Linked DNA regions of Saccharomyces cerevisiae S288C. The gene in region 1 interacts genetically with each later gene. Each region holds a gene or a part of one and is shown on either strand. Other genes may lie near its edges.

The links.
Region 2: mutations in FMN1 (region 1) and LCB1 together harm fitness more than expected from each alone (negative genetic interaction), as found in Saccharomyces cerevisiae (2 studies listed by BioGRID).
Region 3: mutations in FMN1 (region 1) and ERO1 together harm fitness more than expected from each alone (negative genetic interaction), as found in Saccharomyces cerevisiae (2 studies listed by BioGRID).

Annotation. Positions count from the first base shown.
Region 1 is NC_001136.10:934,598-937,770, forward strand, and holds FMN1 (riboflavin kinase), read right to left. Parts: upstream 1,296-3,173; coding exon 639-1,295; downstream 1-638. Other genes in the region: mRNA splicing protein PRP42, read left to right, coding at 1-541; mitochondrial 54S ribosomal protein uL5m MRPL7, read left to right, coding at 2,018-2,896. UniProt on the Saccharomyces cerevisiae protein: Catalyzes the phosphorylation of riboflavin (vitamin B2) to form flavin mononucleotide (FMN) coenzyme.
Region 2 is NC_001145.3:858,715-862,685, forward strand, and holds LCB1 (serine C-palmitoyltransferase LCB1), read right to left. Parts: upstream 2,178-3,971; coding exon 501-2,177; downstream 1-500. Other genes in the region: GSR1 (Gsr1p), read right to left, coding at 1-176; carboxypeptidase C PRC1, read left to right, coding at 3,208-3,971. UniProt on the Saccharomyces cerevisiae protein: Component of serine palmitoyltransferase (SPT), which catalyzes the committed step in the synthesis of sphingolipids, the condensation of serine with palmitoyl CoA to form the long chain base 3-ketosphinganine.
Region 3 is NC_001145.3:10,983-15,124, forward strand, and holds ERO1 (ER oxidoreductin), read right to left. Parts: upstream 2,193-4,142; coding exon 501-2,192; downstream 1-500. Other genes in the region: YML131W (uncharacterized protein), read left to right, coding at 1-313; COX14 (Cox14p), read right to left, coding at 3,559-3,771. UniProt on the Saccharomyces cerevisiae protein: Essential oxidoreductase that oxidizes proteins in the endoplasmic reticulum to produce disulfide bonds. Acts by oxidizing directly PDI1 isomerase through a direct disulfide exchange.

The DNA of each region.
Region 1 (3,173 bases):
AAATCTATTGGAAAAAATTGAGTCCTCATATTCCGACAATGTTGAAAACGTTGATGATTTTGAGATATTTTGGGACTATCTTCAGTTCAAAACGTTCTGCCAGAATTCTCTGTATTCCAGTCGATATTCTGATTCACAATCAAACGGGCTTTTGAATAAGGAGCTGTTTGATAAAGTATGGAAACGTTTGAGTTGTAAAGAAAAAAAAAGTGGTCAAGAAATTTTATTGAATAACTTAGTACAGTTTTATTCGAAGGATACCGTAGAATTTGTAGAAAAGAACATATTTCAAAAGATAATAGAATTTGGTTGGGAGTACTACCTACAGAACGGTATGTTCTGGAACTGTTATTGCCGTTTAATTTATTTCGACACTTCTAGGTCATATTTGGACAAGAGGCAATATATTGTCAGAAAAATATGGCCCCAAATAGACAAAAAATTTGCACAGAGCGTCTTGCCGTCTTTAACAGAATTCTGTGAGTCATACTTCCCAGAGGAGATGGATACATTAGAGGAAATGTTTACTGAAGAACCTTAGCCAAAAGGCATTGTCATTTATTAAAAGGTATAAATATGTAAATGTATACTTAATGACCGTTAAGAAAAACTACTAGCCTCATCACTCCCGCAGATCTCTATAATTGTTGTTTGAATACTTGATACGGTGGAGTGGCAAGGACAGTCTGCGCAGTCCTAATATCGATATTGATGTCTTCGATCAGAGCTTCCTTAGTAGTGTAGTTCAATTCGGGTCTGATATGACCTAAAATATTGAACTTGACCCTGGCCCCATAAAAATCATTTTTAAAATCATGTATAATATGTAATTCCATGGTTTTGAAATCATTTCCGTAGAATGGATTTTTCCCAACTGAAAGTACCATAGGAAGTACGGACAAATCATCGTTCGCTTCACTTAAATATTGACCGTAATTATAAACCACAGTTCTTCCATCCCGCCTTGTTTCCACCGATAGTTCTTGACCATCAACAGTTTTAATGTGAGCAAACCCAAAGTAAACCCCTAAATCCAAATCGTTGATACCTTTAGGTAACTGATTTATAGGTACATTGGCAGTGGGAATACCCAATTCGGCGGATCCGCGGCCAAATCCACATACAATGTCACAATAGTCAGTAACAAGCGGGAATGGTGGACCTGGTTGCGCAGGTATTGGCAAATCGACTTCTCGTTTAAAAGTATCAATTATATCTGTATTCGTATTTCGGTTCATTAAGAAAGTACCTGCTAACACTAGCAATAACGAAACATAAATAGTCCACGTAAACATCAACACTTCAACAACACGTGTCTGTGACCGCTTCACGGGTCCAAATTACCACTTTCTAGAACATTGTCTTGTACGTCCAATAATAGTGTTACCAATGCTGACAGAGTATTAAAGCAACGATTTGAATTGACGCATTACCCTCCTGCATAAAGGACTACAAATACATCCTCTCTTATAACGCAATTGCAACATCTGAAGTGCAGTGTGATCAAGATATTCAATTCTCTATTAGAGTAACTTAATCATGTTTCACATGATCAGTATTCATTGTAAAACCTCTTGAGTGTGATTCGTTGCCAACTAACATAAGCGTGCGGATTCTTTAGAAAGTGGGTGTGCCGACCCTGGGAAAGATTGCATAATGTGAATCCTTAATGACTTACCCATACTCTTCATTAATAACCTATTTAGAAAAAGAAGAAAGGCTGTTTCGGAGCTCCTTTTGTGCTGTTTGCAAACTGTCTATTTTCGCATCAAGTTTTACCCATCTACTACTTTATTCGCTTTACGGTAAAAGCGAACACGACAAAATCACCTATCATCTACGAAGGGCCTTTCGAAAACAGAAGAATAAAAAGACAGGAAAAGCATCTGTTTAGAATTTTATAACTAATTTGGGGAGGTATCTGTAAAGTAATAGACAGGACCGGAAATAGTGTAAATACTCTCCTTTGTTTTTTTAGTTGTACCACTTTGAAGAGGGCTCGAGATTCACGAACAAAATGCAAAGGTTTTCACTAGTCACTCACAGATCATTCTCTCACTCCTGTGTGAAGCCCAAATCTGCATGCTCTTTGGTCAAACCAGTTCATCACTTGGTGAAAATTGATAAGTCAAAGTTATCCCCTAGATTTCCAGAATTGAAATATGACAAAAGTGATATTAGGTCACCTGGATTTAAACCAAAAGACACTCATGCAGATAGACTCAATGACCATTACCTTAACACTTTACAATCTGATTTGTTATTGATTAATTATTCACATAACGCTGCGGTGGTAAAGGGTCTAAAACAAAGAGCGTGGAGTGGTGATTCGCCATACCACTTGAACAGACCACCGAAAAATCCTCGAGGTTCGAAAGCTCAACTACCTGACATTCATCCTATCAAATGGAGTAACATTCCTGGGCTAGAAAGTGTTGTAATAAACTGTTTTGTTAGGGAAGCGAGAGAAAATCAGCTATTGGCTATCACCGCTGCGTTACAATTACAACAAATTACTGGATGTAAACCTCATCCAATTTTTTCCAAAAATGATGTTCCAACCTGGAAACTGAGAAAAGGTCATCAGATGGGAGCTAAAGTCGAACTAAAGGGAAAAGAAATGTCTCAGTTCTTAAGCACATTGACCGAAATCGTCCTACCAAGAATCAGAGAATATAAAGGTATAAGCAACCAGTCTGGGAACAGATTTGGTGGGATTAGTTTCGGCCTGACGGCTGAAGATATCAAATTCTTCCCTGAAATCGATGCAAACCAGGACTCATGGCCTAAAACTTTTGGTATGCACATAAATATAAACACCTCAGCTCAATTAGATTACCAGGCGAGAACTTTGTTGAGTGGGTTCCAGTTCCCATTTTTCGGAGAGGAGAAATAAGAATACAATCTCATGGTCCTGGCCAGTTAGCCATGCTCTATGGCAGAAAGGCAAAGGGCATATATAATTTCCCATTCGTCATGTAAATATATAAACTGTACAAGATACTATCTCTCTCCATTTTTCAATCATATAGTTCTCTTTGGGGCACTGAGATGTCTACAAATTGTTATAAAATTGGACGTCTCTTACACAACTCACAACTCAACTCTGTATAAAGATTTTTAGGAAAGAAAATGTACATAAAAGTGAATACTTGTTTAAAAATGAGAACAAA
Region 2 (3,971 bases), on another chromosome or scaffold:
GCTTGTTCAAAAGGTTGGGCTTCCTGCACAGCGTCTAGAATAGGATCAGCAACGGAAGCAGTACGCATCTTCAATCTTGCCTTGTCATCTTCAGAAATCTTGACATCTGAGGCACGGTTCGCTCCGTCATGATCACTCGTGTTACTGATACTGGATTTCTTTCTAAAATGCATCATATTGCCTTGGTGTGCTGTTTTAACCTTGTTTGATGTTTGCTGTGTCTCTTGTGTTAGTTCTCTGCCTAGTGAAACCGAAAATGCTCAAGAAAGCGTACCACGAAAGTACTCCTTTCTTTTCTATTAATAAATAAACAAATAAATAATACAGGTTGCTTTGCCTCGATGGTAAAAGGAAAGAAAATTTCGGATCCGAAAATTTTTAGCGCATTCTCTGGGCGCCGTGCACCACGTCAATTTGACAGAGATGATGTTACGATTATTTGTATTATTGTATAAATATTTATATATATATGTGCGTGTGCATATACTGGCTTTCTATTTTTATTTATTAGATTCTTGGCAACAGGCAAGGATGGACTGCTTGACACTTTCGCAAGCATTTTTGAGTTCCTCTGGGGACATGGCGGCGTTACAGCAGATTTTCAAGCTAGGGACAATTGGTAGCGTCTCCTGTTTTAAAACAATAGTGTTTCTTGTGATGAGAACGTTGTAGTTAATAAGAGCATGATCTACTATGGACTGCAGAAATTTTTCCTCCTCTTCGTATGGCTCAATGAATTTGTTTGTCTGGGACTTCTTTTGCAAAGCTGACATGGTTTCGAATAGCTGTTCGCAGGTGTATCCGAACTTGCGAGACCTATATGCGGGAGTCAGTTGCAGATGTAGGACAGCAGACACTGGAGAGGACGTGACGATTACGTATGAACGCAAGGAGTCGTCAGATGCAAAGGAATCATGCAAAGATTTGGATAGTTTTTGCAGCGTCTGGACGGCGTCGTTGTTGGAGTCCATCAATTTCAAGACTTTGGAGACGGATGTGACGGTGTAAGCCGGCAAACAGGCAGAAAAACAATATGCATTGGAACCAATACGCTGGTGCAAACACATAACACTGTCACCCAGGACAAAACCACCGGTGGACCCCAACGCGGTGGCCATGGACCCAACGGTAATGTCAATGGCAGTTGCGCGATCCATGTTGAAGTGCTCTGACAACCCACGGCCCGTAGCGCCAAGAACACCAATGGAGAAGGTTTCGTCAACAAATAGTCTGAACTTGTACTTGTTCTTCAGCTTAGTCAACTCAGGCAACGGAGCTAAATCGCCCGAGTTGTGGAAAATACCCTCAGTGACGATAAATTTTCTTGGAATGGCGGGCAGTTTCTCAAGTTTCTCCTGTTCGGTCAACTCGTTTAATAAACATTCTAGCGAATTCATATCGTTGTGGTTGAAGTAGTAGACTGTGGATCTGCTTAGTTGCAGAGCATTTTGCACTGGTAATGACACCTGGTCGTCTGCCACGATAACATCACCACGCTTTGTGAAAGCAGGCAGAACAGAGGGTGCGGCACAAAAGTCTTGCCCGTACAGAACGGAACCTTGGGTGCCAAAGAACTGTGCTAAATCATATTCCAACGTGTAATGAACGTCCTGGTTACCGTAGAACCCGGCGGGACCACAGGCGCCCACACCGTAATTCTTGATAGTGGTCTTGACCACTTCTTTCACGGGCTCCGTAGCGGACAATTGCAAAAAGTTGTTCGAGGCCAAATTGAAAACATTGGTATACTTCTCCTGCAGGTTGTTTCTGGTGATAGTAATATGGTTCTGAATGGGCATTTCCATGGTGACGGGTGTTTTGGCCACCCTCCACGATTGCTCATCGGTGGCAGAAGGGTCGACTAGAGGCTCGGGCTCCCAGTCCTCAATTAGCGCGTCAATCTCCTGGGGCGATAGGTTGGGCTTCTGTGCTTGAAGACTCTTTTTCTGTTGTGGCTTGGACAAGTAATAGATGATCCCGTATAAAATAAGCCCTATCTCAACCGTGGTCCTGTATGGATCGTCATGATGCGATTTCTTGATGTACGAAACGATGAATTGGCCTCCCGGGATTTGAGTCAACACCAGATTGAAGTAGTACCATAGGTACGATGAGGTGGTAACAATAAATGCCGGAATCGGTATTGATTTGGGTAAAACCTCTGGGATGTGTGCCATTGCTTTTTTTTTTTGGGTGGGAAGGAAGAAAAAAGGATAAATAACCCTACACGAGCAAAATGTGTATATTGGAGGCCAGGCAGAAGGTTAGAGCGCTCTTATACTGTGCTACTCGATGATGTTGAAAAGAATTTTTTTTATTTTTCCTTTTCTTTTTCTTAAGTACTATATTTTCTCAATCTTACTTTCGTTCACTACAGTTAACCGCAGCAATATGCCCCTATAAAAAAGAATGAGTGAAAAATTTGTTAGCAGAGAAGCAAGAAGGAAAGAAGGAAAAAAAAAAGAAACCGTGTAAGAAATCATGGCGCCTCAAAAAAAAAAAAATACGCGAAATCGATTTCCGTATATGATGATACATATGTTAGGTCTCTTATGGTAGTTTTTAGGGTCTGTCCTGTTTTTTGAAGGCATTGGTTAGGGTCTAGTAAGTAACTCGTATAAAGAGATGTACTTTTATACGGTATGTGTGGCGGTTATTTCCAGTGTTTTTTTTCCCTTATTTTGTGGGTTCATGGAAATAGTACATATTGACCTTCTGCACAAGAAGCCATATTGACAGAGCAGTATGTGAGGACCTTTCTTCTACACAATGTAACAGTCAATGGTTGTAGTCAATACCACGACCTTTACGTGCAGTTTTAGAGCGAAACTTCGGTTTTTTGAGACTTACCTCGTGTTTGTGTCTCCCTGGGAATGGAGCCGCGCCACCCTTGTCTATTATGTATAGTCTTATTTAATCATAGCGATGTTGGTCATCCAGTACACTTCGGTAGCAACCTTCGTTTGTGATTGTCTTGGTAATTGCTTCCAACAACTTTATCCATCATTGAGACAGGGGCCATATCACCCGCGGGGTCTCAAAGAAGGGGCCCACTAATAAAAGCACGAGATAAGAATGCCAGCAAAAAAGCTCCGAAATAATTCTTTTCGTCTTCCCTCCTAGTCTTAACAAGACAAGAGAGAGAGAGAGAAAGAATACTCACTAGAGATTGTTTCTTTTCTACTCAACTTAAAGTATACATACGCTATGAAAGCATTCACCAGTTTACTATGTGGACTAGGCCTGTCCACTACACTCGCTAAGGCCATCTCATTGCAAAGACCGTTGGGTCTAGATAAGGACGTTTTGCTGCAAGCTGCGGAAAAATTTGGTTTGGACCTCGACCTGGATCATCTCTTGAAGGAGTTGGACTCCAATGTATTGGACGCTTGGGCCCAAATAGAGCATTTGTACCCAAACCAGGTTATGAGCCTTGAAACTTCCACTAAGCCAAAATTCCCTGAAGCAATCAAAACGAAGAAAGACTGGGACTTTGTGGTCAAGAATGACGCAATTGAAAACTATCAGCTTCGTGTCAACAAGATTAAGGACCCTAAAATCCTGGGCATTGACCCAAATGTCACACAGTACACGGGTTACTTGGATGTGGAAGACGAGGACAAGCATTTCTTCTTTTGGACTTTTGAAAGTAGAAACGATCCTGCAAAGGATCCGGTCATCCTTTGGTTGAACGGGGGTCCAGGTTGTTCTTCACTAACCGGGCTGTTCTTTGAATTAGGACCCTCATCCATTGGACCTGATTTGAAACCCATCGGGAACCCTTACTCTTGGAACAGCAATGCCACCGTGATCTTCCTTGACCAGCCTGTCAACGTTGGGTTCTCGTATTCCGGGTCCTCAGGTGTTTCCAACACTGTCGCCGCTGGTAAGGATGTCTATAACTTCTTGGAGTTGTTCTTCGATCAGTTCCCTGAATACGTCAACAAGGGCCAAGATTTCCACATCGCTGG
Region 3 (4,142 bases), on another chromosome or scaffold:
TATGTTGATAGCCTGTGGTGCTATAAGTGCCTATAATGATCCATCTAAATTTGTCTTTAAGGGGTATAGCTTTATTCTGACTAAACGATTGGTCGTTAAAGGAGTACTAGTGACAGATAATATTGATGATTTTCCAAAGGCATTAGATAAATTGGGTTCTCTGGTTAAGCATGGTAAGATTGACCTCTTGAAATCCGCTACCCTTGAAGATGGTACCGGTGATAAGTTCAAGAATGTTCCATTGATATGGAAGGGTCTATTTAGCGGTGTTAATAAAGGTAAACTTATTACCAAGGTTAACAATGAGGAGTGATTTTACACAAAAAGTTTAAGATATGACTATATTATTTTTATTATTGTATCTACTTCGTTTTGGCTCTTATAATTTTTTAGTGGCCTAAATTTTCAAAGGAAAAATTTATTGAATATTTTGAATGATATTTAAACTCTATATTTTGAAATCTATACATTGAATACATATAAGATAAACTGTGTTGCTCTTATTGTATATCTAGCTTATAGGAAATAGGCTCTCGTGTCTCCTCACTAACGTAATCAGCAACACCGATGAATTTATTCCAAAATTTGTATACCTTCATCAAAGATAATTCCCAGATGTTCCTGGGTAAATCCAAATAGCTTCTATAAATAAATCTGAATGCTTCTAAAACGTTGTTAACTTCAGTATTCCAAGCTTTCTTCCATTTATTTACTGTACCGTTAGAGGGCCTTGGAACTATTTCTGCTTTGGGCATTTTTAAATCATCAAATACATGTGATTGAGAATTGTTAGTCTTTTTCTTTCCTTCTTTAGTGGAATTGATGTTCTCTATGGTGTAACGAATCGATTTGCCTGCCTCCTTCAAAATGTTGAAGAAGTTATTTTGGAAGAATGAGCTTAACCTGTTTTCAGAACCGTTTAACCTTTTCCCGTACATTTTTTCGAACATGTTAACAGATTCAATAGATTCAGATAATCTACCGAAAGTCTGTAATAGTGCAATCAACTCATATTTGGTTAACTTACCAACAATATGTTGTTTGGTGAATTCATCAGCGTCGTTGATTTCAAACAAAATTTTCAAGGCAGTTGCGTAACCGGTAGTTTGAATTTTGCCCCACAATCTACATCTATCACATTGCACACAATCCATAATCTTCGTGACATTCTTGAAGCGAGATCTGAATTCGTCCTTCAAAGTCAAACTTAGGTCGTTGGCAAAAACTAAGTCTTCGTTAAAAATTTTTGTGTCCAGCTGGGAAATAACGTTATCCATTTTGTTTTTGATTTCTTTATTGACTAGATCACAGAATGAAAATTCTGGTAAATATGGTTGAATTTTCCAGAGAGCCTTAGCTACAACAGCATAATTGAAATACATGTTTGTCACTCTATCAGGAAAGTTCCCGATTCTTGCCATAAACAAATCCAGATTGGGCTCCCATTTACCAGTTTTCGTGTTCAAATATTCCTTTGATAAGTGAGTACCGATAGAGGCATGGAAACCGGATACAAGTCTATAAAATGCATCTTTGGCCAATGATTCACCAGTTTCGCCAATTGTAAAACAGTTGTCTTGGTAGATAGTAGACCAAATTTGACCAGCTTGCTTACCACCATAACCTGTAAATCGTTCCGGATTTGCTGTTAAATCAATCAGAACGGCGTTTTTACCGTTAAAGTCATTTACATCACAGTAGTTGATGGTGTCTTCGATATCTACAGGTTTTTTACTGGTTTGACATAGTTGATCTAAGAACTTACATTCGTCATCGCTATCATCCGCTTCCTTCATTGTATCATTATTGAAACTACCCAAGATCTCAGGCTGCCAGTACTCAGGCAGTGTATCCCAGTCCTCTACGACATCAACAGAGCAAGCGCGGTTTAAGCACAGACCATCGTTGGCGTCCCAAAATGAACATTGCTTGTATAAATCCAGCCGAAAGTATTTGAAGAAATCAGATTTTAATAACGCCGAAAGATCATCTCTAATGTTTTCATTTATGGCATTTAATTCATTGAATGTTACGTTACAACTGGGACTAACGTGATCATTCCTGTCGACCTTACAAAAGTGAGTGTCATTAAAGGCATTTTGTGTTTGGTCGGTGGCGATGTAGCTATTGTTTGAAGTTGCAGATGTAAAAGCCGTGAGGCACAGTGTGGCAATGGCGGTTCTTAATCTCATGTTTTACCTGCACGTTACTGTGGTATATGCAATAAAATGTTTACACTCTTGAAATAGTATAACCAGTTTAAGTGGTAAACCTTTTCAAGCTCTTTATACTTAGCTTCAAGGATGATTGAACAAGTTTTTATGACACGTACTCCGTATCGTTTCTTTTTTGTTCTCTTCTTTTCTTTTTGTTCTTACTAACGCCCAAAGCCGGAAAAATGCGAAAAATTTCCAGGGTCTTCTATAAGAGAAACCAAAGGACAAAGGGAAAAGGACATACTTAGCAGGTAGCTCAATATTATTTGTTTAATTAGAACAGTCTTCTCTTTGTGTATGTCTTGTACCATTGTCTGTGGTATTCTCGATTTGTGTAGAATACATTTGCCATAAAATGTCAGTAGACCTTTTCTCTGATACGCAGTGAATATATCAATTCTCCTACATATCCTATTGTTCATTGAAAATATGAAAAGTAAGCATTACTCAATAGATAGATAAGAAAATGATCTCGTTTCAGTTGTGAATATGTTTCAGAAGAAATGTCTTGATAGTATTGGTAATGTAGGATGGGCAAACCATATGTAAGGTAGGTGGTTGGCAATTTACTTTTTTTGTGTTGCCAGTATGTATATATGCTTTTGGGGGGCCTTAATGTTTACCTTCAAGGTACGATATTTAGCAAGCATTTCTAGTTCTTTATGTGGTGAATAAGTAATGTGTGTGTGAACTATGGCTACTGGATGACTATATTCGGCATTAGTATTTAATAAGGGTACGACTCTGAAGTATCAGAGTTGCATCATTTCAGACACACTGGAGGGATCCTGTTATATATTTTGAAATAAATAATGTACAATTTTACGGGTGTACACAGCACAAAAAGGAACGTATTCTTACCGCCGTGTTCTTTCCATCACGAAAGTGACTTCATTGCGATGTATTTTTCAGCAAGAATTAAGGTAATAAGATCTCTTCACAAAGCTGACTCAAAAGGCCTACATAATGGCAGTAAGAAAAAGTAAACAGCGAGAAATAGTCAGATAAAAAACTAGATGGCGAATAGACGACATTTTAGAAGAAAAGTGTTTCAGCCTTTGGCCTCAAACCTCAGTGGCAGTCTTTCCCCTGATAAGGAATAGGAAGGCATGCAGCGATATATATGTTAGTTTTGCCTACGGGAATCCGGCAGCAATGTTATTTATTTTTGTTGTTTCTTATGATTTAATTATTATATACAGGTTCGTAAATATTGGCATGATAATGAGGAGAAGGTGGAACCAGCACACTACGTCGATGGAGGCCCTTAGAATATAGTGCAACACTTAAAAATGTAATCTAGTACTTTTTCTTCATTTTATTAGCACTGGGTTCTCGCAGTTTACTCGGTAGGAGGTGCAGTAGGACTTTGCAGTTGTTGATTGTCTTCTTCAAGTGCCTTTTGTTGGGTCACTTGTTGTTCGTACTTCTTACCGTTCATGTATAAAGTGTAAGCTAAGCCACCCGACATGTATAACGTACCACCAACCAACGTCAGTACCGTTAGACGATGTAATGTATCTGTAACTCTGGTATACCAAGCGTATTTGGACATGACTATCTGCGTTCTATTTTTTGTTCTCTTCCTCTCACCATTGCCAAACCGCTGTATAGATTTATGCTCCTTTCAATGCATTTATTCTGATCCTCTCCGATTTCGTATACCGGGTAACATTAATCGCAAGGAAGGAGAAGCAAAGCTCAGAAGTAAGGAAGAACTTCGAAATCTGCTTCCGAGAGTGAGGAAATAGTGTTTTCTAAAGAGTGTATTTCACAGTATGTAACATTATAAAGACAAAATACTTACTTAAGCAAAGTTATATAGAAGTGACAACGTGTTTTTTCGTTTTGCTATTAGCTTGTCCATTTTACGGTAAAATATACGGATGAAAAGAAAAATTGGGGAGAAAAGTACATTACGTTGAC